7 linked regions of the Cricetulus griseus genome follow. The protein of the gene in region 1 interacts with the protein of each later gene in a biochemical or structural test. Links are inferred from orthologs where the notes say so. Each region holds a gene or a part of one and is shown on either strand. Other genes may lie near its edges.

The links.
Region 2: the proteins of Erbb3 (region 1) and Crk form a complex in vitro, tested with the Homo sapiens proteins (2 studies listed by BioGRID and IntAct, with this or other methods). The link is inferred for Cricetulus griseus from reciprocal best matches to the Homo sapiens genes ERBB3 and CRK.
Region 3: the proteins of Erbb3 (region 1) and Tns2 form a complex in vitro, tested with the Homo sapiens proteins (2 studies listed by BioGRID and IntAct, with this or other methods). The link is inferred for Cricetulus griseus from reciprocal best matches to the Homo sapiens genes ERBB3 and TNS2.
Region 4: the proteins of Erbb3 (region 1) and breast cancer anti-estrogen resistance protein 3 homolog form a complex in vitro, tested with the Homo sapiens proteins (2 studies listed by BioGRID and IntAct, with this or other methods). The link is inferred for Cricetulus griseus from reciprocal best matches to the Homo sapiens genes ERBB3 and BCAR3.
Region 5: the proteins of Erbb3 (region 1) and tyrosine-protein kinase TXK form a complex in vitro, tested with the Homo sapiens proteins (2 studies listed by BioGRID and IntAct, with this or other methods). The link is inferred for Cricetulus griseus from reciprocal best matches to the Homo sapiens genes ERBB3 and TXK.
Region 6: the proteins of Erbb3 (region 1) and Ptk6 form a complex in vitro, tested with the Homo sapiens proteins (2 studies listed by BioGRID and IntAct, with this or other methods). The link is inferred for Cricetulus griseus from reciprocal best matches to the Homo sapiens genes ERBB3 and PTK6.
Region 7: the proteins of Erbb3 (region 1) and Sh2d1a form a complex in vitro, tested with the Homo sapiens proteins (2 studies listed by BioGRID and IntAct, with this or other methods). The link is inferred for Cricetulus griseus from reciprocal best matches to the Homo sapiens genes ERBB3 and SH2D1A.

The regions. Positions count from the first base shown.
Region 1 is NW_023276806.1:129,315,452-129,320,232, forward strand, and holds the start of Erbb3 (receptor tyrosine-protein kinase erbB-3), read left to right. Parts: upstream 1-1,721; 5' UTR 1,722-1,839; coding exon 1,840-2,029; intron 2,030-3,528; coding exon 3,529-3,588; intron 3,589-4,781. UniProt on the Homo sapiens protein: Tyrosine-protein kinase that plays an essential role as cell surface receptor for neuregulins.
Region 2 is NC_048600.1:89,143,556-89,148,449, reverse strand, and holds the start of Crk (adapter molecule crk), read right to left. Parts: upstream 2,943-4,894; 5' UTR 2,797-2,942; coding exon 2,556-2,796; intron 1-2,555. UniProt on the Homo sapiens protein: Involved in cell branching and adhesion mediated by BCAR1-CRK-RAPGEF1 signaling and activation of RAP1.
Region 3 is NC_048595.1:398,504,134-398,508,247, forward strand, and holds part of Tns2 (tensin-2), read left to right. Parts: exon of another isoform or gene 1-134; coding exon of another isoform or gene 135-206; intron 207-1,516; exon of another isoform or gene 1,517-1,522; coding exon 1,523-1,631; intron 1,632-2,015; coding exon 2,016-2,053; intron 2,054-2,875; coding exon of another isoform or gene 2,876-2,898; coding exon 2,899-2,937; intron 2,938-3,253; coding exon 3,254-3,292; intron 3,293-3,427; coding exon 3,428-3,477; intron 3,478-3,699; coding exon 3,700-3,871; intron 3,872-4,114. UniProt on the Homo sapiens protein: Tyrosine-protein phosphatase which regulates cell motility, proliferation and muscle-response to insulin. Phosphatase activity is mediated by binding to phosphatidylinositol-3,4,5-triphosphate (PtdIns(3,4,5)P3) via the SH2 domain.
Region 4 is NW_023276806.1:35,982,825-35,986,938, forward strand, and holds part of breast cancer anti-estrogen resistance protein 3 homolog, read right to left. Parts: intron 2,528-4,114; coding exon 2,356-2,527; intron 982-2,355; coding exon 870-981; intron 629-869; coding exon 416-628; intron 1-415. UniProt on the Homo sapiens protein: Acts as an adapter protein downstream of several growth factor receptors to promote cell proliferation, migration, and redistribution of actin fibers.
Region 5 is NW_023276807.1:139,222,279-139,226,180, reverse strand, and holds part of tyrosine-protein kinase TXK, read left to right. Parts: intron 1-256; coding exon 257-375; intron 376-2,724; coding exon 2,725-2,882; intron 2,883-3,902. UniProt on the Homo sapiens protein: Non-receptor tyrosine kinase that plays a redundant role with ITK in regulation of the adaptive immune response. Regulates the development, function and differentiation of conventional T-cells and nonconventional NKT-cells.
Region 6 is NC_048599.1:707,134-710,734, forward strand, and holds the end of Ptk6 (protein-tyrosine kinase 6), read left to right. Parts: intron 1-672; coding exon 673-854; intron 855-1,323; coding exon 1,324-1,477; intron 1,478-1,825; coding exon 1,826-2,013; 3' UTR 2,014-2,642; downstream 2,643-3,601. UniProt on the Homo sapiens protein: Non-receptor tyrosine-protein kinase implicated in the regulation of a variety of signaling pathways that control the differentiation and maintenance of normal epithelia, as well as tumor growth.
Region 7 is NC_048604.1:25,494,151-25,498,264, reverse strand, and holds part of Sh2d1a (SH2 domain-containing protein 1A), read left to right. Parts: intron 1-3,669; coding exon 3,670-3,811; intron 3,812-4,114.

The sequences.
Region 1 (4,781 bases):
GTATACTATCATAAGAAACCCTAGGTCGCTGAACGGTTGTAGCCCACATCTTTGATTCTAGCACTCAGGAGGCAGAGGCAGGTGGATCTCTGCGAGTTTGGGGCTAGTGTGTTCTACAGAGCGAGTTCCAGGACAACCGAGGCTACACTGGGAAACCCTGTCTTGAAAAACCGAAAGAAAACAGAAAGAAAGAAAGAAAAAAGGAAAGAAAGAAAGGAAGAAAGAAAGAAAGACGGGGAGAGAGAAAGAAAGGAAAGAGGGAAATCCTGGGTCAAACTTTGAGCTCCTCCTCTTCTGTCACAATGAATCACATAGATAGATCTGGAGAAAATTCACAAGTTTCCAGTTCTGAAAAGATGAGGTGACATCCCTAGCTCATGTATTCTTTTTTTTTTTTTTTTTTTTTGTGGGTTTGGGTCACGTGTTTGTGTGAATTTTGTAAATTTTCTCCAAATCTACGTATCTATGTGGTACATGGTGACAGAAGGGGAGGGGCTCAAAGTATGACCCAGCATTTCTTTCTTTCTTTTTTGGTTTTTCGAGGCCAGCCTGAGCTATATGAGACCCTGTCTCAAAAAAACAAAACGAAAAAAACAAAAGAAAGGTTTTTAGCTAGTAGCTTTCGCCCAGGGGCAAGGGACAGTAAGTTCTCCAGGCAAGATGTGGAATGCCAACCTAAGGGATGGGAAATGCAACGGGCTGGGCACCAGGAGGCGCCCGTCGGACCCGCCCGGGACCTAGCAACCCAGGGTATGCGAGGCGGGAGGTCCCGGGAGCTGTGCGGTTCCTAGGCGCCTTCTGTAGCCACCTCTCTGCGCTCCTCTTCACTGTCCCCTCCGGGTGTGAGCGCCGCGGTGGCGACGGTGGAAGAGAGGCGGGAACCACGGACAGACGGACGGCGGGACGGACGGACGGCGCGGTCGGTCGGTCGTCCCGGCGTGGACTCGGTCAGAGACAGCTGTTCTCTGCGGCGGCCGTGGGGGGCAGCAGAGGGGACCGCGACAGGTGCGGGAGCCCCTCCCAGGGCAGAAGTGGGAAGGCGGGCTCCGGGGTATGTTCCCAGGCTGGAAACCACCCCCGCCCCCCAAACAAATCCCCCCGAGAGGCCGGGCCGGCGCCGGGTCTGCGGGAGGAAGCGGCCGGAGACAGTGCAATTTCACGCGGCCTCCGGGGCTCGGGTTCCCGGGCCGGATACTTGAGTTATGGGGCTTTGCGTACCGGGGAAAGGGAGGTGGCATGGACTCTAGGCTAAAAAACAACCTCCCACTCAGAAAAGTAGAAATATTCACACTCCAAAAGAAAAGAAAAAAACAAACCCCTCAAGTGATCCAACCGGCTAGGGGAGTTGGGTGATTTGGTTAATGGGCGAGGCCAGCTTTCAGGGGGCTGGGCTTTGGCGCTCTCCCCACCCGCATCCACTACCTTTCCCCGGCCCGGGGACATTTGGGTTCTTGATGTCTTCTTAGCCATCTCCGGGGGAAATTGCTAGAGTGAGACCCCTCCTTGACCCTCTTGGCCAAGCTGCGGGCTGGCGGGGCGCGCTCCGGGCGGGTGTCCCAGGCTGCAGCCACCGGCGACTCCAGCCTCGCACAGGAGGGGGCGCGGCCGTGACTCACACCCCCTTCCCCCTTCCCCTCCCTCCGTCCCTCCTTCCCAGACAGACACCCTCCTCTGCCGTCCCGCTCGGGACTCCGACTCCGGCTCCTGCTGCAGTTTGCAATCTCCGATTGCCGCCACCACCTATGCGCCGGGCTGCTCAGGTGGCTGTCGCTTCGATGTCCTAACCCAGGGGCCCCCGGGCCAGACTCGGCTGGGCTCCCTTCACCCTCCGCTGCAATCATGAGGGCGATTGGGACTCTGCAGGTGCTGGGCTTCCTTCTCAGCCTGACCCGGGGTTCCGAGATGGGCAACTCTCAGGCAGGTAAGCGGCGCGGGGAGCCTCAGCCGGCTGGAAGCGGAGAGCGAGCGCGACCTGAGCGCGCGCAGACCCTGGGCAAGGGGTTCGGGTTCTGGCGCGCTCAACTGCGGGGTGCGACCCCGAGTCTACCGGGACCACCTTGGAGGGGAGCGTGTGGCTTGATTCTCGGAGTGGGCTGGGCAGGGACTGCATTCCTGGATGCCTTCTCCCCTTCTCCCCCGGGGCGTCGCTGACCCTCTGATTGGTGTTTTTCTGATCAGGTTGATGTGGACAGCATCTGAGGGCCTTGCAGAGAGGGCGGGCAGGGACCCTTCTGCAAACCCGAGGAGCCTTGACTTGAAGGGTCTCGGTTTGCTCTCTGGCTCCCTGGTCCCCACCCCACCCGCCCCAGGTTTCAGCAACCCCCAGTTTCGTTGTTTTGCCGGCAGGGCGGAGCTATGCAAGGGTTGAAGTTGTTGTTTTCTGATGTTGGAAAAACAAGAATGGCACCTCCTCTTCCGTGAGTGGGGCTGCCTTGAGAAGGCTGAGATTAACCTGAGGGCCAAGTCCAGGTGACTTCAGAGTGAGAGGCCTCACGGAGGCTGGCTGGCTGCCTTCCCACAAGATAAGCTGGTCCCCAACTTAGCCAGTTTCTCTTTACCGAGGCCGGGTCAATTCAATTAACATGTGGAGCATCTACTATGTACTGTACTATTTCCTGAGCTGCAGGTGTGGGGGAAAGGACAGTTAGCCCTAGTTCTCTCTCTCCTACCTTCTGAACATCCTATTCCGTGAACTCGCTCCTAGACCCAACTTCTTCCCTTCCCCCATTCAGTTGTCTAACTTCAGACAGAGGCTAGATTTTACTTCTCTATACCCCCATTCCACGCCGTCTGAGCCCATTCCTCTGGCTGTCTCTGGGACTAGGGGCACCTGGAGAGTTCTGGGGCTGGTGTACTTCGAGTCCCGTTGATCTCGCTTCACGCCCACCCCATCTCATCTTGGGGTACAGCCAGGGCCCCTTCCCCAGAGTGGGAGTGGGAGAAACCACCTGTGCTTCCCCCACAGTTGCTGGGCCTAAATTTAGCCCCTGGGATCTTGAGGCGTGAACACTCCCAGCTGGTGGAGGGGGTGGTCTGGAGACTGGAGGGGGAGGTGCCAGGGGAGTGACCGGATCACTCTTCCATCTGATTGTGTGCTCTCTCCCCCTCTGTCCCCCCCAACCAGGAACCCAGGAGTCCGGGATTCCCACCACCCTCCCCGAGAAGCAGGGAGCAGGCATGGTTGAGTCTCTCTCTACCCTTTATCTCTATCCTGCAGCCTCTGGGCATCCGGCCCTGTCTCAAGCCTTGTATAGCCCCTTTGTCCCCTTGTGTGTGTGGCTGGGGCAGTGGAGGGGAGACTTCTGAGGGGCTGCATGTTCTTGCTCTGTCCAACCCCAGTCTGTGCTCTACATATAAGAAGGGCTCTGACATCGCTCCTCTTTGAGCTTAGGTCCCACCAACAGGCAGTTCTTGCTGCTTCCTTGCCGCCGGTCCCCAAGTTGCCTGGCTCCTCCTGGGTAGTTGTTTATACTCCCGTCCTGCCCAGGCCCTTTGCCCCTGTTTGTGAAATATGGACTTTGCCCTCAGGGTGGCAGGTAACCGAGACCTGTAAGGCCCTTGCAAAGCATAAGACGCAAGGTGTACAAGGTACTGTGGGCAGATGGGATGCGCTGGCCACTTGTGATACGTCTCAATACAGACTCCAGGCAGGGCCAGAGCGATATATGTTTCTGAGCCGGGGAACTGTGTACATGTTGGTGCACCAGTTGTGCACGGTGTGGCAGTGCTCAACACACGTACACACCACTTCCCTATACAGAGATCCTAGCTCCTCCCTTATCTGGGAGAAGGGTTGGCAGAGGGGTGTCCTGCCAGGAAGGGGACAGGGGTGGGGCAGTTTCAGAAATGACTAACCTTCCTAGTCTTTCACTTCAGCCCGAGGACCCTGGGGTTCCCAGGTGCCTCTGGGAGCCTCCAGGCTGTTCATGCCTCCTTGCTGGGAATAGCTCACTCTTTCTGTTATGGAGACTGATAGGGAAGAGGGCTTTATTTATTTATTTATTTATTTATTTATTTATCGGTTTTCCGAGACAGGGTTTCTTTGTTTAGCTTTGGAGTCTATCCTGGCACTCGCTCTGTAGACCAGGCTGACCACGAACTCACAGAGATCAGCCTGCCTCCTCCCAAGTGCTGGCCTAGGGATAAGGATCTTAAAGAAGGGGCCAGACCAGAGGTGTATGTAGCAGGAGGAGCTGGGGCCTCTGCTCTCTCTCCCACTGTTATGCTCTTGCCCTGCCTCAGGGAAGGGTGGTGAAAGCAGGTGGTTCGCACCCCTACCTCTACCCTCCCCATATGCTCTTCCTCTGTGTCAGAGGAAAGATCCATAGAGCACCAAGGACCAAGACTTCCCTTTTTACAAAGGAAAGTGAAAGCCTGAGACTGGAGTGTACTGGCCACTCTTCTGGCTCTCCCCTGGAGCCATCTCTCCTGCTGAGGAGCATTGCCACTGTTAGAAGTCTTTAATGAATCCTGCTGACAGTGAAATTGGGAAGAAGGCTTCAGAGGGTGTGAAGGGTCTGTTCTGTTTCTCTCCGGGGCTGGAGAGGTGCTGGGGGAGCTGGAGCATGTTGGCTTAGGGGAAGGGAGTAGAAGAGAAGCCAGAATTCAGGAAAGGGGAGGTCGCCAGCTCCTTATCCAGCTTTGGAGACAAAGCTCCCATTGACCCCCACCCTACTACCAGGGCTTGTCCCTGAAGTGAGGTCACTTGTCTGAGCCCAAAGCTCCGGGGTAAGAGGGGGGTGCTGCTGAGGATGGGGTGTCTGGGATAGGGTGGGGCAGCC
Region 2 (4,894 bases), on another chromosome or scaffold:
TCTGACTTTTATTTATTTAAAATTTTGAGCTGGGTGCACTAGTGAACACCTTCAATCCCAGAACTCAGGAGGTAGAGGCAGGAGGATTTTTCAAAGTCAGCCTGGTTTATATAGACAGTTGCAGACCAGATAGGGTTGCACAGTAAGACTCTGTCTCAAAACAAAAGAATGGAGTTTCCTAAGTGCACTTCAGGGATTTCAAAGCAAATAAACAAAGAATAACAAAACTATATAATAAGGGGCCGGGTCAGTTCTCAGGTGACACTGTCTAGCTCAAATTCTGGTTTAGTTATATACTAAATTTGTGACCTTACAAGTTACTGGATTTCTAGTTCTTTCGTCCAAAAACTGGAAATATTTTAATAAATGCACATTGCAATATTTCACTCACTATATTGTTACCGACAGTAACTTCTGTAAGGCACAGAAAGTCCTCAGCAAAGCATCTGGCATACAATAAGCAGTCAATAAGTGTCAGCTATTAATATTATATATGCCTCTCTAAAACTCAAGTAATCCCTATGTAGCTTTAAAACAAAAAGAGCTTAATGGGGGGGGGGCAAAGATTAAGTATCCATCATAAAGTAAAAAACAGCAAGTGAACTGACTGCCCTAAAGAGAAAATAGGGTACATGACAGAACAAATTGCCACAATGCCAATGAACTTTCCTACCCCACCCACAAACTGGCAATCTCCTCTCTTAGACCAACCATCTATTTTGAAAAGGTGGAGCTGCTGAGATATAAAACCACAATGCCCAGGTATGGAGAAATATCAAACTAACAAACCTGCCTGCTACTATTCCCAAGTTTTATAACAAAACACATAGAGAGAAAGCTGAGGACTGAAATTTTCTACCCTACTATTGGAAATAAAACCTGGGCTTCCCTAATGCTAGGCAAATAAACTACCACTGAATTATATTCCCAGTCCCACCCCCATCCTAACTTTTTATTTTGAGGCAGAGTCTTACTAAGTTCTCCAGGATAGCCTGGAACTTGTAAAATCATCTTGCTTCGGTCTCCCAGGTGCTGGGATTACAGGCATTAACTATGACATGTGGTTGGAAATTGAATTTCAATGACAACATACCATCCTAGTACTGCACTTAACATAAAATAGATACCTTGCAGATGGCACAAATACCTTTAGGGCAAATGTGCTACATTAATATTCTTATTTTATTTTACATATTAAACCAATGAGACCTAGAAAGATCTAAATGTGTAAACTAAAAGGACCTCAATACTAAATTCTTCCCTTAACTTGTGTGTGCTAACAAAAAGAACTATCTTTATCGCACCTCATTTCAGGCCAAAGTGAATAAATCTAAGTTAGGACTATCCTAAAAAGGGCAGGTCTGCTATGGTTAGCCAAGGAGTCTTCATTCATGAGACTGGCTCAGATCTAGGAGAAAAAGGCTTTCACTTCAAACATCCAGAAAGCAAGAAACTTGATGCATTACATACATACACAGACAAAGGCAATCACAGAATCACTCTGTATCTCAAAAACCTCAAGTGCTAAGTGGATGTATTTCCTTAACATTGCCAGACAACTCCAACAGTATGGGCAAGGCGGTTACAATTCATTGATCCTTGACAAGACCCCGTGGGATAACTAAAATGCTTGGTGTTATCTTTACAGACAGGTCTGTTCTTGTATCTTGGAAGACTTTGACTACAACACCAACTTACTGAGCAATAAAAGACCCAGAAGTACATGACTGACACTGTTTAAACCCAAGGAGAATGAAGCTCCATTCACTTCCAGGGTTGTTCTCACTGGCTTATACCTGGTTTATTTTCTGAAGGAAAAAAAAAAAAAAAACCTTTCCCCCACTAATCACTTTGAAACTAGAAACTCTAGTTGCAGCAGGCAGTCTTTTGGACACTTCAAACCTCTTGGACAGTTTGCCAGCTAGGCTTCAATTACTCTGGGCTGGTCACAGAAGGCTTTTTTCTATTACCAAGTCACTTAGTTCACCACCTTCGTATTCCACAAGGGAAGAACACGGTAAAAAGATTTTGGAAAAATGCCCAAGAAAGGAAAAAACCGACCGGCTTCCTGAGGGTGTCTCCATCCCTCCCAGCCAGCCAGTACGTGGTGACTTCCTACCGAAGGCCACCAGGGGAGTATGGCCAAAACCGGCTCTAACACTGCAGGAAACGTTTCAAGCCTAAAAGCCACTTGTAGGATTAGCAGATCCATTCTGGGCACCTCTGCCAAATTGTGTCCCCGCAACATCCCCACTAACTCTTTGTCCCCAAGTTGCCTGGCCCTGCCCTGCCCTTGGGCCTGACCCTGGCGCCCAGCCCCACCCCGGGGCCGCAGCAGTTCCCCTTCCCCGGCTCCCAAGGCACACCCAGAGGCCTCGGTGAGCAGCTCCTCCTCCCCCACAATCCCGCTCGTCGGTGGGAACCAGCCTGGGCTGAAGGCAGCTCCCCCGCCAGGGTCACTCCTGCCCTCTCTGCCCACGTCCCTCCTCCTGAAGCGGACCAGAGTTCCACGGCCCTCACCCCCGCCCGGGGCCTCCCGCCCGCCTGTCCCTCACCCGGCGGAGGCTGAGCGGGCGACGGAGGCACTGGAGGGCGCGGGCCGCTGCTGTTGATGATGTAGTGGGAGACACGCGAGTTTTCCGAAACGCTGAGCACATAGTCCCCGGGGCTGGTGCTCGAGTCCCGCACCAGGAACACCCCGTGCCGCTGGCCCTGCAATAGCGCCACCGCCTCCTGCCGGCTCAAGCGGCCCCAGTACCAGCTACTCCGCTCCTCCGAGTCGAAGTTGCCCGCCATGGCCGCCTCCGCGCCTTCACGCTGGGCCGCCGCCGCCACGCGCGCCCCTCCAGCCCTGGCGCCCGCCGCCCAGCGGACCGGCTCCGGTGTCAGCCTCCCAGCAGCGCCCGAAATGGCGGCGGCGGCCGCGGGCCTTCCCCACCGGAAATGACGCGCTCTCTACCCGAGGGAGGCTGCCGGGAAGGGGGACCGCCGCCCGCCATTGGGAGAAGGGAAACGGAGTCCTTGGGGCCCGCAGTGCGCACGCGGCTTCTTCATGGGCGTCGCCTCCAGGTCCAAACCCTGGCGACCGAGGATGGGGAGGCGGAGTCTAGGACTAAGGGGCGGAGCTTCAGTCTGCAAGCTGACTGATGTGTGTCTGACAGATTGGTGGCCTAGGTCTTTCGCCCAGGACCTACAGGAGTGGAGTAGTAAACGGTCCCAAGATGTTAGCCTCCCTCAAAGCTCCCTGACAAGCTGGTATTTTTCTGCTGTTTTCTTCAGTTTCCCCCGAGGTAAGCAGAAGTTCTTGTTACTCAGTAACAATCATAGACGTTACATTTCCCTGCAGGTGCAGTGGTGATCCAGACTGGGCCGTAAGTCACCAAATTCACAGACCAGTGGGAGGAACCAGGAAACAATTAATGACAAAGGAACAACAAATGCTATGATGGAAAACAGGAATATAAAGAGATCAACTAGGCAGTCTGTAGAGGGATCCAAGGGACTGGTAATGTGACTCATGACTGTAACACCAACACTTAGGAAACTGAGACAGGAGGATTACTGTGAGTCTGAGGCCCTACCTTACAAAACCTAAACAACAAACAAGGGTCCACAGATGAGGTGGCTTGAATGATTGGGTGTTGAATGGCAAGTGGGGAAGGATACTCAATGCAAAGAAAACAAAATGCTCAGACAGGAGAAAGGATTGAGGCTCCTATGTCAACCAGACAGTTTCCTCTATATTCTCAGTTGTAGTGATGGATGTCTCCTACTCTCACTTGCTTCATGATCATGATCATCTCTCTCAATTTTTTTTTACTTTGAAATGAAAAAAATTGTTTTTGTTTTTTTGAAACAGGGTTTCTCTGTGTATCCCTCTCTGTCCTCTAACTCACTCTGTAGACCAGGCTGGCCTCAAACACAGAGACCCACCTGCCTCTACCACCCGAGTGCTGGGATTAAAGGCGTGTGCCATCACCAATGCCCTGCTTGACATGAAATCTTATGATGTAGCCCAGGCCGACTCAAGATCCTTCCACGCCAGCCTCCCCAGTACAGGGATTATAAGAATGCACCAACATGCCTGGCTGGCCACTATTGCTAAGATTCCAGTGCACAGCCCGCCTGCTGCTGTTCCTTAGTTTGGCTTGCTGGATGACACTGTAATAGCCATCAGTACAAGTTTTCTAAATACAAATCTGTTGTTACCCTGCATAAAACTTTGAAAATCTTTAAAACTTCCAGTTTAGGGGCTGGAGAGATGGCTTACCAGTTAGGAGCACTGACTGTCCTTCTAGAGAACTCGAGTTCAATTACCAGCACGCACATAGCAACTAACAACTGTCTCTAACTCCAAGTTCTGACCCCCTCACACAGACATACATGCAGGCAAAACACCAGTGTACATAAAAATTTAATTAATTTTACAGAGAAGGAAAGTGAAGCTCAGAATTTAACTGTTTTGCTTTTTTTTTTTTGTGGCATGGGTACATATACCACAACACACGTGTGGAGGTCAAAGACAACTTTGTGGAGTTCGTTCTCACCTTCCACTGTGAGAGTCCTGGAGTTTCAGGTCACCAGGCTTGGTGGGCAAGTGACTTTACCCATTGACCCACCTCAACAGCCTGAATTCTTGCTGTTTGTTCAGGTGTGTTGTTTTTTGTTGTTGTTGTTGTATTTGGGTGTGTGGTGTGTCGGGGGGGGGTTTGTGGGTGTTGTTTTTGTATGACAGGGTCTTTCTGTACTCCTGGCTGTGCTGGAGCTCACTATGTAAATCAGGCTGGTATCTGCTTTGAGGATATAGTGGAACAGAGCTCTCTCCTTCTAGATCTGAACTCTAGCTGCTCACTTAGCAGCTACAAACGTCAAGACAAGTTACAGAAATTTGGGC
Region 3 (4,114 bases), on another chromosome or scaffold:
TCCACACACCAGCCAGACAGCCTCCCCTCCACCCAAGGGAAGCGGCTGCCTCGGCCAGGCTGCTTCCAGGAAGCCCCAGGCCAGGCCCCAGCATTGTTCAGGCCCTGCAGCCAAGACCCAGCCAGCCAGACACCATGAAGTCCAGCGGCCCTATGGAAAGGTTGCTCAGAGCCCTGGGGAGGGACAGCAGCCGGGCCACCAGCAGGGTAGGAGTGCCCACCAGCTGGGCAAAGGTGGGGCAGGGTGGAGGTGTGGACAAGGGGGGAGGGCCAGGATTCAGGCCAGACCCTCTTGCTAATTTCAGCCTCTTCTCCTGCTCCTTACCTTGCCTCAGTATTCCCCTCATTCCCCTGCCCCCCTGAGGTGGCCAGGGTGGCAGTATGATCCTGCCATCTGTTTGGACTTCTCTGCCTTTCCTTGCTTGAGCCTGAATAAGCCCTGGGAGTTCAGCAAAGAGCTTAAGCCCTGACCTCCCAGGGAAGCTTGAGAGAAAAGGGATGGGAAAAAAGCTATGAAAGGTAGGGAGGAGGCCAGGTCTCCAGGCACTGTGACTGGGAGGATGCCTTCCACTGACGTCATCTGCACATGATGTTATCAACAAGTATGTCCAAGTATCCTAGTGGGTCCCACCTCCAGTCCAGAAGAGGTCTGGAACACTCAAGGGACCAAAGCTGTTCCTCCCCCTTGCCTTTCGAAGGTGTTAACACTGTGGTGGGCAGATCCAGGGAGAGGGGACAGCAGGAGCTGGTATACAGATGAAGAGTGTGGAGGGACTGTCCACAGACTTGGGGTGGGAGGCACGGCCTGCAATGGGAGGGACTGAAGTAGGACCTGGGCAACTGGAAGCACCCCAGCTGCTAGCTTCACTGTCGCTGGATAGGGAGGGGACACACAGAGGCAGCAAGGCAGCTGCTTGTCTGTCCCCGCTGTCATTCCTCCTTCCAACATTGCCACCCCCTTCTTATACAACTGCTGCTTGCAGCCTCAATGCACAAAGAGTAAACACGTTGTTCTGACCCTGAGGGAGGGGGGCATGTCAGCTGCCTGGAGCTTGGAGACATTGAGAGCCAGGGGCTCAGGACTGGCTACAGCCAGTCTGGGTGTTATGTGACAATGTGCATGTGTGTCTGGGCCATCAGCTCATGTATACAAACCTCATCTGGGGAGGGCAAGATGGAAAGAGTCAGACCCCCACTCTGCCAAGATTTGGAAACCCCTCACATTTGAAGTGGCAGTGACAAGGACATCACATAGCAGGGCCACGTGAGGGGACCTAAGTGATCCCTTAGGGAGGAGTTGACCCAGCCAAGGTGATGCAAGGGGTCACATTCCAAGTCCTGTAGAGGACAGGCCCCATGACTACCCCGAGACAGCTGTGGCCAAGTGTGCCTGGGAGTTCAGAGGCTTTGAACTAGAAGGGAGGGAAGCAGCAGCGTCTATCCAAGGCAAGGTTTCCAATTCAGCCTCAGAGATGGGTCCACTAGGAACTCATACCTCTATCTATCTGTCATCCCACCCGCAGCCTAGGAAAGCAGAACCACACAGCTTCCGGGAGAAGGTTTTCCGGAAGAAAGCTCCGGTGTGTGCAGTGTGTAAAGTGACCATCGATGGGACCGGTGTCTCCTGCCGAGGTGAGGTGCTCTTCCTGCGTATCCAGAGCCCTCCACTCAACACCACTGTGCTGGGTGGCTCTAGGAACAGGCAGGCTTACAGAGCAGGGACAAATGCCCTCACTTGCATGACACCCACCTTGCCACAGCCCAGTAGATCTGTGACTCTGCCACCTTCCCATCCTCACCTGTGACTAGAGGCTGCCCTTCCTCCTTGCCTCCATTCATCCTAGACCTCTGGCCTGAATCCCAGACTCTGGAGCAGAACCTGCTGGTACCCTGCCCTGCTCACTGCTCCAGCAATCTAGTGTTAAGTCCCAGGGTTGACTTTCAGGGCCTGGGGAAGTGGAGGGTGCCCACTTTCACTGCCCTCTAAGCCTCTGCTGTTCTCCCCTCCTTCTCTAGTCTGCAAGGTGGCCACACACAGAAAATGCGAAGCAAAGGTGGGTACCTGGTCCTAGCTGATGGGGGATGGAGTCTTTTCACTGCCCAGACACGCTTTTTCAGCCATACTGGCATGTTTCTTCCACCCAGTCCCCTGCCATTCCTGGAGACCCCTCCTGGGTGGCAGGGGTGTTGTGCCGGGCCCTTTAAGAACTACTCTACTCCACCCCTGGAGGGTTGGCCCAGGAGGGTGGACAGTGAGTCGGCAGCGTTTGTCTTGGTGCTGTGCCCAGGCTGCAGCTGGCGAGAGGATGGGGGGGTGGAGAAGCAGGAGGAGGAAGGGTGGGGTGGACAGAGAGGGAGCAGGGTTTCAGAGACCAGGCACTGGAATAGGCTGTACCTTCCCTCTGGGGAAGGGTCCTCAGGATGCCCAAGTTGGTCTTAACCTGGGTGCTGGAAGGGCTGGACCTCTACAGGTACATGGTGTAGGTGGCACCCACTGTCTACTGAGAACCTGAAACAGCCCCATCCCTGAGGAATGCTCCTGGTTCCTCCTTCAGTGCAGGGGGTAGTCCCAGGGCCTCAAGCTAGCTTGGGGGAGCTATGTGCCCATGGGTGGGGTCTCAACGGTGAAAGAGGCTAGTGTCCACCCCTGGCCATTGCCTGCCTGCCCGCCCCTATATATAACTCCTGTCCTGCAGCTGGATGAATGGGGGTCTGTTTGGGCAGGGGGCTGAGAGCCAAAAGCAACAAGCAGGGGGCCTGAGAGGTGGGGGACCAGGAGGCCAGAAGCAAGGCTTCCCTTAAATAGAGGAATAGAGGAACCTCAGCTGGAGCCTGTACTCATCAGTTGACAGCCCCTCCACGTTATCTTTCACCAGCTCAGTCACTCATCTCCTTCCAGGTGACTTCATCCTGTCAGGCCTTGCCCCCCGCGGAGCTGGTGAGTGCTCTAGGATGGGGCAGGGAAGATAGTAACCTGACTAGTGTCCAGAGGTCTGGTGGTCTCAGAGTGGGGGCGCCAGGAGGTTACCTAAAACTGAGCGTTGTAGTTACTGACTGTTCTAGCTCTCCGCTGTTACTGTCCTCTAGAGCCTGGGGTGCGGGAGGGGCGGGGGGGGGGGAGACTGGAGTTCCCTCTTTTCCCCCAGGGAGTAGATAGACACGGACATGCCCTCCCACCCCCACCCTCCAGGTCCAGACTGGTCATTGCCCCTGCCCTAACCACTCCCATTTCCTCCCCCACCTCCTCCCTCTAGCGGAGAAACACTGCCCCAGTACGGCGCATAGAACACCTGGTAAGGGATGCTTAGGGGTCTGGGGGTGGGGGGTGGGTAGCTTTTGGGAGACCACGGTTTGTGGAACTTTGAACTGGGAAGTCTAGAAGAGATGCGTCCAAAGACGATGTCGATGTACGGTTTCTCATCCACCAGGGATCCACCAAGTCCCTGAACCACTCAAAGCAACGCAGCACTCTACCCAGGTGAGAGCGCCCGGTGATCCCACGTGGGCACTTTGCACAGGACCCCCACACAGCTCATGGCATTGGTCCCCAATAGAACACCCCAGGACAATGCTCCCCCTCAGGACCACGCACCCTCGGGACCTAGCAGGCCTCCCAGCGCTCCCCAGGACCTTTCTCATAATACTAGCCCCGTGGGGCGCCTCGCCTCTGTTCCCTAAATCAGCTTTGCGACCTCTCCAGGAGCTTCAGCCTGGATCCGCTCATGGAGCGTCGCTGGGACTTGGACCTCACCTATGTGACCGAGAGGATCTTGGCTGCAGCTTTCCCCGCACGGCCGGACGAGCAGCGACACCGGGGCCACCTGCGCGAACTGGCCCATGTGCTGCAATCCAAGCACCGGGACAAGTACCTGGTGAGGAGCGGGTTGGCCAAATTCAACCAATGAGAGGGCTGGGAGGTCCAAATGAGCAAGGCTACTGTTTGTCATCAGAAATGGAACTGGCAGGAGGCGGGTATTAGTGTACAAAGGCGAGGCGGGGCGGGGCGGGCCGGGCGGGCGAGGCGGGGCGGGGCGGGCCGGGCGGGCGAGGCGGGGCGGGGCGGGCCGGGCGGGCCAGGCCGGGCCTGAGCTCAGTGGGGCGCGCAGCAGCTCGCA
Region 4 (4,114 bases), about 93 Mb from region 1:
GCCAGGCATAGTAGGTACCTCTAATCCCCATGCTGGGGAGACAGAGATGGAAGGATCCCTGCCACTTGTTGACAGTCAACCTAGCCTCCATAGTTAAGTTCCATGCCAGTAAGAAACACTGACTCAAAAAGAGTGGTGTGTGGTGCCTGAAGAAGGACATCTGAGGTTGGCCTCTGGCCTCCACACAGGTATAGTGTGTGTGTGTGCATGCGCGCGCACAGTGAAACCCGTTTCTTTATACTTGCGTGCTCTTAGACATTATTGAAATAAGAAGTAATGACCAATGGTATAGGAAATGAAGTGTTCACACCTTAATTTCATCTCCTTGGTCATTTTTCTGAGGGCATCCATGCCCTTTCTTTTATTCCTTCATTCTAATCCCCCCAGAGAGAAGATTCCAGAAACAAGTTCCTACCTGCCAGGATCCTCTCAGCATTCATCCTGTAGCTCTCTGAAGCTTCAGCCATGAATCTGGCTGTTGCCAAGTGGTTCAGCATAATTTCACAGCTCTCGTCGTTTTTTTCCCACATGTCAGTTCCTTCAAAAGTGACAGCCTGACGTTCCATCAAGGTCACTAGAGGCATCAGCAGTGGGACTGATACACTGCTTGGTGGGACATACTTGGACTCTGAGGAACAAGGAGGAAAGTTCCATATCAGGTTTTGTTGACAGTTAATCACAGGCCGACTGGTAGTCTGTTTCATGTAGCAACTGCAGATCTGGACATGCAATGCCATTGTGTGACTATAAAACTGGAGGGGCCATCATCAGCCTTGCCGATGACAGGGTCTCATCACTTGCCTCGGCGTTTAAAGCGCTGGCAATAGAACAGAGACTGCTTAAGGAGCAGTCTGCGCTCCTGTGCTCACCTCTGCCTTCGTGCAGGGCTTTGCTGAAGGGCTTCAGCTGCTTTTCATAGAGGACGGCTGTTTGGGTGTAGTGGTGCCGTAGAGCAGTCCATGTTTTTTCTAACCTTGTGATCTGGAAGAAGCAAAGCCTGTTGTTTCAGAGAGCCTCTTTTAAAAAAATCACCTTTCTGTTACATGTTGGAGTAGGTGATAGATGTGTATAGCAATGTCAGAAGCATTCTCGAGTTGAGAGAAAAAAACGTAACCCCTCTACCCTGTGTCCGCGTGGTTCTGACGACCCATGCCACAGCTCTTAAGTGCTTGCATGTGTGTCTATACACACTTTGAAAAAAACAAAGGCCTAAAATAACTATAGTTATTTTGTGTGTGAGAGTGGGTGACTCCAAGAAACTTGTAGGAAGGGCACTTAATTTGTTCAGCATCTTGCTTTTAAGGTGGTCACTCTTTTTAATGAAGGAAATTATGTGCCAAGCATGCTCTGATTCCCAGGACACATGACTGCAGCCATGTCACTCGGTGGCAGGGATGGATGTTTATGAGCACCTGGCAGGATTTCAGAGATCATCTGTGTCTAGGAAACGGCCCAGATAAAGACCCAGCTGTGTTGACGCTGCTGGTCTGATCCGGTTTGCAGGCCTCGACTCTACTCCTCAAAGTTCTCCAAGCACTCACACAAGGGAAGACAGCAGATCTCGCTTCCCTGTAGGAGGCCCACTGTATTTGATTCTCTACTGAAAAATAAAATCCAACATCTGTCAATGCAGACAAAGTCAGAGGCTGGACCTGAGACATTCTGCAGGGACGCAGGCGACAAGTGAGAGAGCTGGACATCTGTCTTAAGTAACTGGAGGAAGATACTTTGGGACAGTCTAGGACAGTGATTCCCAACCTTCCTAATACTTCAACCCTTAATACAGTTCATGCTGTGGTGACCCCAACCATAAAATTATTTTCATTGCTACTTCCTAACTGAATTTTGCTACTGTGATATAAATATCTGATGTACGGGATATCTGATATATGACCCTTGGGAAAGGGGTCACTACCCACAGGTTGAGAACTGCTGGTATAGGGATTCTCTGATGTAAGTTCCTTCAATGCCTTGGTTTCCCCAAGTCATTACCCAAACTGCCCACATTCCTGATGACCCAAATGGATGCAGCCACTGGCGTGCCACACACTGGAGCATGGTCTCTTGTCCTAACTGGTTCTTCAGGAATACTGCTTGTTAGTGGGGCTAATTCTTGTTATTATACATCAAACCTGAGATGTGGACTATCAGCAGTTACCAGTGTTTTTATAAACAGAGCCAAAATAGTAGGGACAACACTCTTGGCTGCCTCCAACGAAGGCAGCTTTCACTAAAATTCAGTTTATCTTTAGAGACTGGCGGAAGCAGTCAGCCATACATGGTGCAGATGAACAGAACTCTGCATAGCATTGAATGCTTACTTGTGTGGAAGGCTGCACAAAGCCAGTATCTCACCTGAGGCATCTCTAGGGCTTTCATGATGGCTGAGAAAGAGTAGAGGTCTCCCATGGCATCTTTTAGTTCCACTGCTACCTGGATGATCTTATTGAGGGTACCTGCTCGGTTCTCCAAAGTACCTGTGCAGCCAAGAATGTCCACAGCGATGCCAATGGCCATGGTGTTGTGTCTAAGTGAGAGAAGACCAAGGGTCAGGCTTAGGTCAACAAGATGAGGAGACAATGGCCCTGATATCCGAAAGCAGGGTTATACGTGTGCCACTGGCTGGGAGCCTATTTGGAAAGCTGATCTCAGTAAAGCTCATCCCACACCAGGCAGAGGATGCATTATGGATTCAGGAAGTAAGATGCCCTTGGACATGACCAGGTTCAGCCCTGCACATGGGAATGTAAAGAGGACCGCGGATGCATGTGGCTACATGCTCCCTCTCCTACCATGAGTAGTCTAAGGAGATACCAAGTCCCCCAACAAAAAGGGGATGCTACCCCTGACAAAGACTGGGCACCACTTAGGAATGGAAAAGACAAAGAGAGAGAGAGAGAGAGAGAGAGAGAGAGAGAGAGAGAGAGAGAGAGAGAGAGGATATAATTGATCCAGGAAGATGTCATGGGTCTTAGAACAAGAGCAGGAGAGAGGAGACAAGAACGGTGTTCTGCAGCCCCAGTACAGATACCACAGAATTTGGAGAGGTGGACAAAGACTGAAGGACAGGCAGGAATTCACTGTAAGGTCAGACCCTAATAAAACAAAGCATCCACTCCCCCTACTCCATTCTCCCCTTTCTCACCCTAAACTACATGGGTCAAACTCACAGACTTAGGGCAGGAAACAGGGTGACTTCCCCATGACAATGGGGACCCTATGAACAGGGTTACTCAGAGGCAGGAAGCTCAGACAGTGACCTCTTTCTTTCCCTCTGTAAATCTAAACCCAGGAATTTACTGCACTGGGTCAAAATACTCTTAATTTTTTAGGCTACTATGCAATTGCTGGAGGTAAATCTGTAGCTATGATTCCTAAGATACCATGTGCCTTTGAAACTCCAAGATCACAATGTTCTGAAAGCTCAGAGCCTGGGCTGTTGCTTCTTGCTGAGTTCCTTTTGTGTCAAGGTCATTGGTTTCTCACCTTTCTTGAGCAGAGTGACAGTGATTCAGCTCATGCTCAGCCTTCCCAATTCCCCTAAAGCCTGTTAACTAATGAGCTCACTGTCTCCAAGTATTTTTACATGTATATGTCTGGGGGAGGGTAGGGAAAGGGAGGGAGGGAGAGAAAGACAGACAGACACTAGCTCACGTTAGTGGCCAGCAGGTAGAGGTACTCACATGTTACCAGGAGTGGTGTGTGTGTGTGTGTGTGTGTGTGTGTGTGTGTGTGTGTGTGTGTGTGTGTGTGTGTGTGTGTGTGTGTGTGTGTGTGTGTATGTATATGTATGCATGCATGCATGCGAGGCTTACATGTCAATGGCCAGCAAACTAGAGGTGCTCATGTGTTATGAGAGGGTGCTCCAGGAGTGAGGTGGTAAATCAGAAGTCATGGGTAGTTTTGTATTTGATTCAAGAACAAGAAAATAAAGTCATGGGGCAGTCTGGGATTCCTTCGACCTTGGCCCATATTTAGTTAACACACCATAACTAATCAAACTATCCCCCTGGCTCTGTGGGTAGCTCCCACAGTCACAGATGGATAGGAAACAAATTGGGGTGCAAGGTTCTAGGCAGCAGCACAAAGAAAGGGGTGTTGACCAGAGTTGAGG
Region 5 (3,902 bases), on another chromosome or scaffold:
ATAAGTGCTTCCCAAGTTTTGGGACTATAGAGCTGTAGTTTTCAGAGATTCAATGAAAATGAAATCAAGGAGACATGGTTCTAGAGGAGGAAAACAAATAAAGGGAGACTTCATTGCCCGCCGTCAGGATGACATGGTGCACAGCCTTTTCTAGGGGAAAACACTGGGTTTCAGCAGGTCAGAGCAGACAGAAGTATTTGAAGTAATTAGACCTCGGTGGACATTAATACAGTGTGCTTGAATCCCACGATGGCAGGTACGTTTTGGATGATGAATACATCAGTTCCTCGGGAGCTAAGTTCCCAGTCAAGTGGTCCCCACCTGAAGTATTTCATTTTAACAAGTACAGTAGCAAATCTGATGTCTGGTCATTTGGTGAGTATGTTTGTTATTGCTGGATTTAATACAGAGGTTGCCTTTTCAACTCTTGCTTGTGTGCTTGTTTCACATGATGTAGCAGTCTTTAAAAGCCTTCTTGTAGGTTGGAGAGATGGCTCAGAGGTTAAGAACACTGGCCGCCCTTCCTGAGGTTCTGAGTTCAATTCCTAGCAACCACTCAGTGGCTCACAACCATCTATAATGAGATCTGATGCCCTCTTCTAGAGTGCAGGCACACATGCAGGCAGAACACTGTATAGATGATAAATAAATAAACCTAAAAGCCTCTTTGTAACTTCTTTGGCAACTGGATTCATGCACCCCCTCACACTGCTCTATTCTCAGGATCTCTCCTACCCTAGAGAGCGGGTGCCACGAAGCTATAGCAAGGAATCTGCTGGCCTAAATGCAGCCAATGCTCCCATTATCACAGAGGTTTGAAGGAAACGATCTACGTCATCACCGAGTTTCCAGTGTGCTTAATAAGCTCCATTGTTTATTCAGTGGCTTGATTGTTTCCCAACTTGACAATTTGAGCTTAACATCTAGATCTAAGAAAAACAACAGCTTACTACCTTCACTTTATACTGTCAAGGTTTATGGGATTTGCACCTTGGCTGCTTGGGTTCTGTCTATTGATGTTCATATTGACTAACATTCTCCACCGAGATAGAGACACTGGAGATCTGTGCCCAATGCGGCTTGTTCCTGTGAGTCGATTTTCCAATCATGGCAACTTATGAGCACAAATCTTAGCTTTCATCTAGGTCTTCCTGGGTGGCTGTGAGGTTTAGAGGGATGTCCTTGTCCTCACAAGTGTGTGAGTCTGAGAGATGCCCTTGTCTTCACAAGTGCATGGGCCTGAGAGATGTCCTTGTCCTTACAAGTCTGTGAGAATATTCTGCATGATAAGATTAAGCTTGCATCATTGACCATGTTAACTCTCTACTGGCTTGATCTCCCAGCAAGCAAGGGTTTGAACTTTGTTGGGGAGGGACTGTGTGAGTGTATTTTAGGGACCTGGTGGATAGTAAAACAAGGAATCTCCTCCAGTGGCTGCAGAGCAATTGGAACTCACTCAGGCTCACATTTCCTTCTCCCTGGATAATGAACTAGTGAGCTAGTGAGCTTCTTTTTTTTTGTTTTACACACACACACACACACACACACACACACACACTGTGGAGGCCAGGGGACAATCCTGGGTATCATTTTCAAGAATGGCATCTACCGGAGCTGGGGAGATGGCTCAGCCATTAAGAGCACTGGCTACTCTTCCAGAGGACCCCGCTTCAATTCCCAGCACCCACATGGCAGCTCACAACTGTCTGTAACTCCAGTTCTGGGGATCCTACAACTTCACACCAATGCACATAAAACAAAGTTAAATAAATTATTTTTTAAAAGCAGAATGCCATCCACCTCCTTTGAGACGGCCTCACATTGGCTTGGAGCTCACTAATTAGACTAGACTGGTGGTCAGTGAGCCCCTGGAATCTGCTTGTTTCTACCCTTCTCTCCCACCCCCACCCCCACCCCCAGACTTGGATGACAAGAGTACATCACCAGGCCAGACATTTGAAAACAGATTTATTTTTATTATTTTTAGTTATATGTATGGGTATGTGCACATGAGTGTATGTGTGCACAGAGACCAGAGGCCTGGATCTCCTGGAGCTGGAGTAACTGGCCGTTGTGGACTGCTGCAGTGGGTGCTGGGAACCAAATGGGTTCCATGCAAGAGAAGCATTAGTACTTTTAACCACTACAGCATCTCTCAGGGGCGCCAGGCATTTTCACATGGGTTCTGGGTATCAACCTCAGGTCTTCTTGTTTATAAGCAAAAACTTTACCAACTGAGCTGTATCATCCCAGCCTTTGCGGCATTCTGTAGGGCCTTCCTGTCAGTTTAGACTCTTCATGGACAGAGGCAGATGTGCACCATCTGCTGGCTGTGGGGTTGGGGGGGGGACTGCTGGCAGCAGCAGGCAGAAGAGGCCCACAAATATGTCATTGTCTATGGAAGAGCAGCCAGATCTATTGATTTGAGGGGGTGGGGACAGGAGGAGGAGGGAACAGGAGCAGCACTTAGCAATGAAAATGCTGCCACAATGTGCACCATAGGAGATGCCGCGACCAAAACAAAAGGCAAGGAGGCATTGTTTTTCTTAGGGATTATTTTCAAGGTACAGACCTATTAAATACTCAGGGGTGTGCAACCACATAGAACTGCATTTTTCTGGGCAATTATGACTCTCAGGCTGGAGCAGATTAACATCTTGCAATTTGAATCCAACCGTTGTTTTGGTTCCAAGTGACTCCAGTTTTTGCATGTTTTCTTTGCAGGAGTTCTAATGTGGGAAGTTTTTACAGAAGGAAAAATGCCTTTTGAAAATAAGTCCAACCTGCAAGTGGTGGAAGCCATTTCTAATGGGTTCCGCCTGTATCGCCCTCACCTGGCCCCCATGTCCATATATGGCGTTATGTACAGTTGCTGGCATGAGGTAGGTGTCCCTTATTACTGAGACTGCATCATGGCAGCCAGAATTGCTTGTTCCTTGGTAATGGCCCTCCCTGAGAGGCAGGGCAACATTTCTAATGAAACTCCCACCCCAGAGTCACGAGTCCTTTTTGTTTTTCATAATGGGCTTTTCATTCAGGAGCTCAGTTTCCTAGTCTTATCAGGCTGAGATCGGTTCTTGAAGAAACTGGATGTTTCTAAAGCCTCTGGATTCAATAATTTATCATCTTGAAGAACTAGGTGGTGGACTCACACAGACTCTGGTTTGTTGAACTTTCCCCACAGAAAATGAAGGAAGCTGTTTTATTCATTTCTCTTGGCTTTCACTTGCCTTCACTTTCAAGGCTAAAAAGTAATGTGTTTCATCTCTCTCTGACACTTTAAGACTCCTGATAAAGAGACTAAATCAGAATAGAAACCGTAGGCAGACTGTGCTGGGAACTACCATTTGGGAAATCATCTCTTTGGAGTTGCTGCTTTTGTTGAAATGCCAAGATTAAAATATCAAGCCAGAAGGGTGGGTTTCTGTCCCCTTCTCTCCCTTTCTGGGCATCTATTCAACACAGCCCTCCTGCTCTCATCAGACTGTGATTTTCCAGAGCTCTGCTCTGTAGTTAGCAGGCTCAGCCCAGAAAAATCACAGCTTGGGGAGAGGGGCTCCTGATGCCTGAAAGACAAGGAATAACAACAAACAACAACCCATCATTTTATTCCCAATCCACAAACACTAGAAAAGCCAGTATTTCAAGAGTGGTGGGGTTGTTCATATTCCAGAGAAGTATTTCACTTAGGAACATCCCCAGTGTATGGAAATAGCCATGATTAATTGCCCACAAGGAATCTTGAAAGACAGAAGATTGTTAACTAAACTGTTAGTAGCAACAGCTGCCTCAGGAATGAATGTCTTTGCCATCACAATGCAAATAGATTAGGAACAGGCAGATGGTGGCTATGGTGGCTTTGACTTAGATTTTCCAACTTTATAATGACATATTTTGAGCAT
Region 6 (3,601 bases), on another chromosome or scaffold:
GCAGGAAGTGGTCTTCAGAGATCAAATGCATGCCCCTTGTAGGTGTAGCTGTTAGTATTCAGGCATCTGTACTGGCCTGTCCTCGGGGTTCTAACAGGATATGCCCTCGGCTGCAGCCACTAAGAACAACAACTGTGCATATTCACTATGTTCCCTTTTAAAAGGGCCCTGTCCACCTGCCATTCCTCTCTCTTATTCTCTTCCTCTCTCTCTGTCTGTTCCCCCCTTCTCCCCCCCCATTTCTTTCTACTGCTGCTCCCATCCCCAGAGGCTGGTCTCCCTCCTCCCCTTTTCCCTTTTTATGACCCCTTTTGCTAATAAAAATCCCTCTGTTTGAACCCTGTCTCATGGCATCTTTCTCTCCTACACTGCTTTTCTTAAATTACAACAGTAGCAGTTTCTGGATGGACAGCATCTAGAGAGTTCAGTGGTTACACTATGCCAAGTATATCTTGCAGCAACATCTTTGGCCTTAGATTGCTTTATAATTCCCAGAAGGTGTATGGGACAAAGAGCATGTGTGTGCTCTTTGTCTCTAGGTACTGCGGAAGGTCTAGGATTGTCCACTTTCCAAATAAGCCAGACCAGCTGCCCTTTGCTGGAGCCTTCATAGGCCCAGAAAATGAGGACTGAGCTCTGGCCAACTGACTCTGGCCTCTGATCACCCTGCAGACTCTGATGAGGAAGCCCTGCCTATTTCGGAGCTGGTGGACTTTGCATCACAGGTCGCTGAGGGCATGTGCTACCTGGAATCTCAGAATTACATCCACCGTGACCTAGCTGCTAGGAATGTCCTTGTTGCAGAGAACAATCTCTGCAAAGTGGGGGACTTCGGGCTGGCCAGGCTTGTCAAGGTAGGACTCTGGAAGAAGCCTGAAGCAGGATATGGGGTTTTATTTTCCAAGCCTCTAGCAGAACCCAGCCATGGGCAAGATGAGTTCTCGATAGGGCGTTGTTAATAGGCAAGGCAATGGCTTCATTCATATAGCCACAACCTTGTTTATGCCACATTGGGCCAGCTCTGGGTATCCTGGACATAACCATGTACACTGGTCTTCTGTCCCCACACATTGCAGCTCTCCCCTTGTGGTACTCTCCCCCTGCCAGAATCCCAGTGAACTGGCACTTTTGATACACAGGGCCTATCCATGATTCTAGCACCTTTGGCTGCAGTGGGGTGGAGTCAATAGGTCAGACAATAAGGCAGTGTGTTTACACCTGCCCACTTGGACCTTGGCATCCATGTCTGTCCATGCTACACAGGAAGGGTACAAGTGGCAGCTCCCTCTAGTGTCAGGGCCCCACCATGTCATCTTATTACAGGAAGACATCTACCTTTCCCATGACCACAACATCCCTTACAAATGGACAGCACCCGAGGCACTCTCCCGAGGACATTACTCCATCAAATCTGACGTCTGGTCTTTTGGGGTTCTCCTCCATGAAATTTTCAGCAGGGGGCAGATGCCCTACCCAGGTATTGTTCCAAGAATGTCCCCAACTGTTGATAGGCAGTGAGGTGGTGTGGGGGCAGGTCTTGGATGGCTGAGATGACAGGAGGCGCTTTCCATAGCCTCAACCAGCCCCCACCCCTGTTCCATTCTTTGAGCATCCAGGAGCACGCTGCTGAGATCACTCCAGGAGACACTGTCCTCAGGGAAGGCAACAGCCACAGTGTCCTGGAAAATGTCCAGAGCATGTGGTCGTCATTCTTGTTGGAGACAGCATCCAGGGAGGGGTCAAAGGCAGCTGGGTGTGGTGTCCAGGGATTGGAGGGTGGGCATCAGACTCTTAGCTCTCATTTCTCTTCTCCCATGGGCCACAGGCATGTCCAATCATGAGGCCTTCCTGAGGGTGGATGCCGGCTACCGCATGTCATGCCCCCTGGAATGCCCACCCAACATGTACAAGCTGATGCTCAGCTGTTGGAGCCAGGACCCCAAGCAGAGACCTTGCTTCAAAGAACTGTGTGAGAAACTCTCAGGCATCACTAGGTATGAGAACCTGGTCTGAGTTCCTTGGACGTGGCCAGGACCCACCAAAGAGCGCCTTCGTGATTATCCTGGACCTCCATTGAAGGTGTGCAACATCCTTCACCTTACCGGGATAGGAAACATATCAAACATACCTCAGATACTACGTGCTGTCAAGGAGCGAGTAAAGAAGGAGCCATAGTCCCTTCCCATCTATCCTCTTCCAGGAGGTGGTCCCCAAAATTCCAGGCAGCCATCCTGGCTTCTTCCTCTCATCTCCTGGGAAGGCTTCATGTGACAGAGAAGCCAAGAGTCTCAGCAACAAGCCTGTGGAGTTCTTTCCAGCACATCACTTTCATAGCATATCTGTCCTTGGTCACTCCTCTGCTCAATTGTCCACACACACCCCACCCCTTGGCACCTTGATTCTACAGGCTCTTGTGCCACAGAACAAGTTTTGGAGCTTCAGGTCCTTTCCCTTCAGAGATAACTTTCTGTCCTGAGCTCCTGAGACAGAACACTCTCAGAAAAGACCACTGCCTTCATCTACCACTCTCCCTTTCCTGTTTGGACCTGAGGCTTTCCAGATGGTTCTGGTCCAAGCCTGCTTTCCCCATGTGTCTCCAGTGTTCTTGAACACATGCTTGATCCCTTAAGCCCAGCCAAACTATCTGCTCTCCATGCCAGCTCCTTATATACTAGGACATCAGGGCCCCAGTTCTGAGGGGTGAGAGCACCCCTAAAAGCTGAGGCTGTCTTACTAGAAGTTGGCATAACCCTCTGACCACATATCTACCAACTCTTTTCATACTGACCTCCCAAGATGGGTGAACATGCCCCAACCTCCCTTGAGGAAACGTCCCCTACGTGTCCAAGAAGCGACGCTGTCTATCTGTACTGCTTCCTGTAAAGTCAAGCTGTCTTTTAAAAATATAGTTCTCAGGGACATAACTGTCACTAGATAAGGAGAACACAGAGAAACATTTGGAAACAGGGCAAATGAAAACTCTTAGAACTAAGTCTTTTGCATAGATATTAGTCAAAAATTTTCTCTAAGTAACTTAACCTTTCATTTTTGTCAAGAACAGAATTTGGGCCAGCCAGGCTTGGTGGCACACATCTTTAATCCCAGCACTTGAGAGGTAGAAGTAGGCAGATCTCTGTGAGTCCAAGGCCAGCCTGGTCTACACAATCAGTTTCTGGACAGCCAGAGCTACATAGAGAGATCCTGTCCCAAACAAAACAATACAACCCCCCAAACCTATAAAAACAACAATAAAAAATCAAAATAAAGATGAGTGCTCATTAAATATCCCTAAAACCTCAGAAATAGAAGGTCAAATGTTAAGATTATGATTTAGAATAATCTTTAAGGGTGTTGGTAAAATTTAAAAAAGGTATGTTTTCAGACGTGCCAACCCTGAATACAAACAGCTAGACCAGTGGTTCTCAACTTTCCTAATGCTTTCCTCACTCATATTGTGAACCCCAACCATAAATTATTTTCGTTGCTATTTCATAAGTATAACTTGGTTTCTCTTATGAATCATAATTTAGATATTTTTGGAGATAGATTTGACAAGGGGGTCACAACCCACATGTTGAGAATCACTGAACTAGGTTCTTTA
Region 7 (4,114 bases), on another chromosome or scaffold:
GTGCTATACCCCTGAGAAATATTCCCAACTAATTTTGTTTTTATTGCCATATATTCACTGTACATAGTAATGTGATTCATAAGACTAGTTTATAATGTGTTTTGGTTGTGTTCTTCCCTATGGTACTATATTCCTCTCTGGTCACATTGTTACTTTATGTCAGGATAATTAATACTGAGATACTATATAAGGAAAAATCAGTACCATTTCTAATCAAAACTGTGTTTCTTAAAAAATCTGTCACTGCAAATAAATAAGCAATTTGATTTATTGTGAAGAAGAGTTGTATGTACCTGATATATGTAAATTTATGTATGGGTTGGTCACAAATAATCCTCTTCCCTCAAACAATACCCTTCAGCTGAGCAATACAAATATTTTTATGGAAAAAATCTTTGATATTTTTGCGATTTAAAAAATTAGTTCTTTGAGAATTTTGTATAATATGTTTTGATCTTATTTACCCTTGTCCTCCAAGATCTGTTCCTCTCTCCCAATCCAGGAAATTTTGTGTACTCTTTGTTTTGATAAATCTGTCTTCTCAATTTGTGCTGTCCAAATATTCTTGGATGTGTGGCCTTCCTCAGAAGCATGATTGATTTACCAGGGGCTATTCTTTTAAAGAAAGTTGGCTTTTCTTCTCCTGGTAGCTATCAATTGCCAGCAGCTCCTTGCCAGAAGTGGGAATTTGTACACACCTCCTCTCTTCATGCTTGGATTTGATCTGGCTTAGGTTGCACAGGTCTTGTGCGTGTTGACATAACCACTGTGAGTTCATATGTGAAGCTGTCCTGCTGTGTCTGGAATACATTGTTTCCTTGTAATTTTCCACTGCTTTATACTCTTTTCACTTCTCTTCCTCAATGATCCTTGAGCCTTGGGAGGAAGGGATGTGATATGGATTCTTAGACACATTTTATAATTCATTTTCTTCCATTTCGCATGTAACATCATAGCACATCATTACATATTTGTAAACATTTTCAGAGGAGGGTCTATTGAGCATAAATATTCCTTATCCTATTATCTGATTTGACCCTCCTTATATAATAATATTGTAATTATTTGCACCATGAGAGCAGAAGATTGTCTTGGGTTATCCCCAAATGGGAAATAGGTAAAAACATCTTTGTTTCATGAAATGCATATTGCATTTTTTCTGTCTACAAAATTTGCCTTCTTGTTAAGGTGAATATTAAAGTAGTGCACAATTCTCAGAGCTCAAATCACCTGGCTGGAAGAAAGTTCTCCAGAGTGTACTGAAGATCAGCTGTGATTCAAAACGTGTTTCCATGGATAATTAAGTGATGGCAGTATGGGAAATGCTCAAATTTGAACAAGAACTGAATTCACTGACAGGATAGTAGCCATGATGCTTTTTTGTGTGTGTGATAAATGTCTTTCCAAAATGTGGTAAGTGGCTTATGTACTACTTTCAGGAAAAGCATTTTAGTTTGACATACCATAAGAAAAGGTCATGTCAGGAACATTCTAGCCTCTGTCCTTAGGTAAGTTTAAGACATGTTTTAGAGATGTGATATTAAATTGAACTTTGAATCTATTGGATTATGAAAGAAAATATTCAGAAAATTTCATTTTAAGTAGAACATTACTGAGGACATTAACTTAGTTCCTGGAGGCTAAAGTTATGATGAATTGTTGATTATCATTTATTAAGTATAGATTGTCAGCAATTCATTGTCAAAAGTGTACTGTTCTCTCCCTCTCTGCCAATTTCTGTGCTTTTGGGCTTTTCTGGGTAGTTGGTCACCAGGAGATTCTTAGCTAGTAAGTGAATTACTTATTAGCCTAAGCAAAGCATCATAAATTAGGTCAGTCATTTGCTAAAGAAATGCTGCATCTCAAGTTCAAATTACTTCTCTATGTCCAGTGGTAATTGTCTTCTCTGTCAGCATTGATAATCAAGTGTTAACTATCAGTCTCCATAGAAATGATGCCTTTGTTGAAAATACATGTATAAGCCACAAGAAACAGCCTAAATGAAGTGTGGTTTCAAATGATTCCCCTCTGGGGAAATATGCAGTCTCTCTTCTGGCAGGTGACCTCAGCTTCACTCGAAACTACTTGGTCTAGTCTTAATCTGAAAGGAATGCAGAGACAATTCTGCTGCTTCTGATTTATGTGTGACCTCAACCTGCTTATTAATTTACTTCAATGCAAGATGATTAGGTTACATGTTTATATCTGTGAAATGAGAATAATTGGAAGAATCAATATCTTCCAATTCACGAGGAAATAGTGAACGCAAGAGATGGGAAAGTGTTTTGAAAAATCAAAAAATGCCCTAAGGAAGAAGTAAGGAGGTATTTTGTAGCCATTTGCACGCCTTTGTAATTTGCAGCCTCTGTCTTGAAGCCAAAGAGTTATTTGGGTCTCTGCGAGAATGGCCATGTTATTTTTAGATGAAGCCTCAGCAGAAAATTAGGTCTTCTGATCATAAGAATAGGGATGGGTAGGAGACCATTTTCTGTCCGTTGACACTGGATAGATGAACACTAAATTACAGCTAAAGAGAACATCTACCATGTGTTTATATTGGAAAACTCCCTACTCACTCCAAAGTAGGCAATGACCAAGAGTAACTTTGGATAGTCAGTTATCTCGAGTTTAAAGTCCAGTTGACAGAAGTCTGTGTGCCAGCCTCATATTTTCTCCTTAAATGCTAAAAACCAAGCAGTTCCCATCTCAAAAATCTTCCAGATGGAATAGCTGAAAAACAACTTTCTAAAAAAAAAAAAACTAGAAAGAAGCAAAACTAGTCATTGTTCAATTGCTCGTAGCAATACTATTTTATTTTCTGTAAAATGACAGTTTTGAGCGGGTGCCTAAAGCACAGCTCATAAGCTTTGTGGGGAATGTTGATTTCAGGCAGTGTCCTTGTGAGAGCACAGATGTCAAGGAAAGAATACATTCTTAACAGCCACCTGCAAATTTGATCTCTTTAAAAATGAACAAATACATAAATAAAGATAAACTTGTATAGTCTTTCATTTACATGTCATAGAGGAAACCTTGTCATGGTGCAGGGCTGACTATGCAAACAATTTGGGCAAAGAACACAAAATTAACATGAAGGATGATTCAGTATGTATTATGACGTAAAATAGTATATGCATCGGCCAGCCATGCAGTTGTGTGTATCGTAACAGTCACTTTTTAAATTTCCTGTGTAATATTTGATATTATAAAATGAGGATGGGGGACATGTTGTTGGTTGTTGTTTTGATTTCTCAGGCTTTTTTGTTAATGACCTGTAGGATCTATACATTTTTTTTATGTTTAACTTCATCCCCTCTGTTGCTGAATTCATTGTGGGTAATGGCCTGTACATCCTTAGAGGTTCAGGATGTATGACGGGTAGCAGTCAGGAAGGGCAGGGCTGTGAGAAAGAGCTTGTACAAACTAGTACTACCCTTGGGAGAACTGCAATGACAGCTCATTAGCTCCTCTTGCAAGGAAATTCAGCCAAGCAAAGTAAGCTCTTCTGGATGTTGTTTTCATTTCTTCCTTATGTTTTCAAATATTTGAGCAAGTTACACAAATGTTACCTCTCTGAGCATCCCTCTCACATGTTATAGGTCTTTTTCTTTCTTTTTTTTTTTAGCATCATGAGGCAAATGAATACTTTTTTCATCTTTTATTTTCCAGACAGCACCTGGGGTACACAAAAGATTTTTCCGGAAAATAAAGAATCTGATTTCAGCATTTCAGAAGCCAGATCAAGGCATTGTAATACCTCTGCAGTATCCAGTGGAGAAGTCCTCAGCTAGGAGTACGCAAGGTACCACAGGTGTGGACACCTGCTTAGTTTTCAAACACTTGGGAAGCTTAGATTTAGGGGGTCAACCTATTCATGACCACATAAGCAGCAGGAAGATCATAAGAAAATTTCAACAAGGAGGTAGCTGCAGCCAGAAAATCAGATGAGAGGTAACTATGCAAAAAGGCTCTACTATGCTGTAATATACACTTTTAATAAAACTGTAGAAAAGTCTATGAGGCCAGGATATTTTCATCTCTTTATTTCTATCTCATTCCTCCTAGTCCCTTTAGTAGTACCTAGTACCATTTTGCTTCAGTAACCTATGCACAT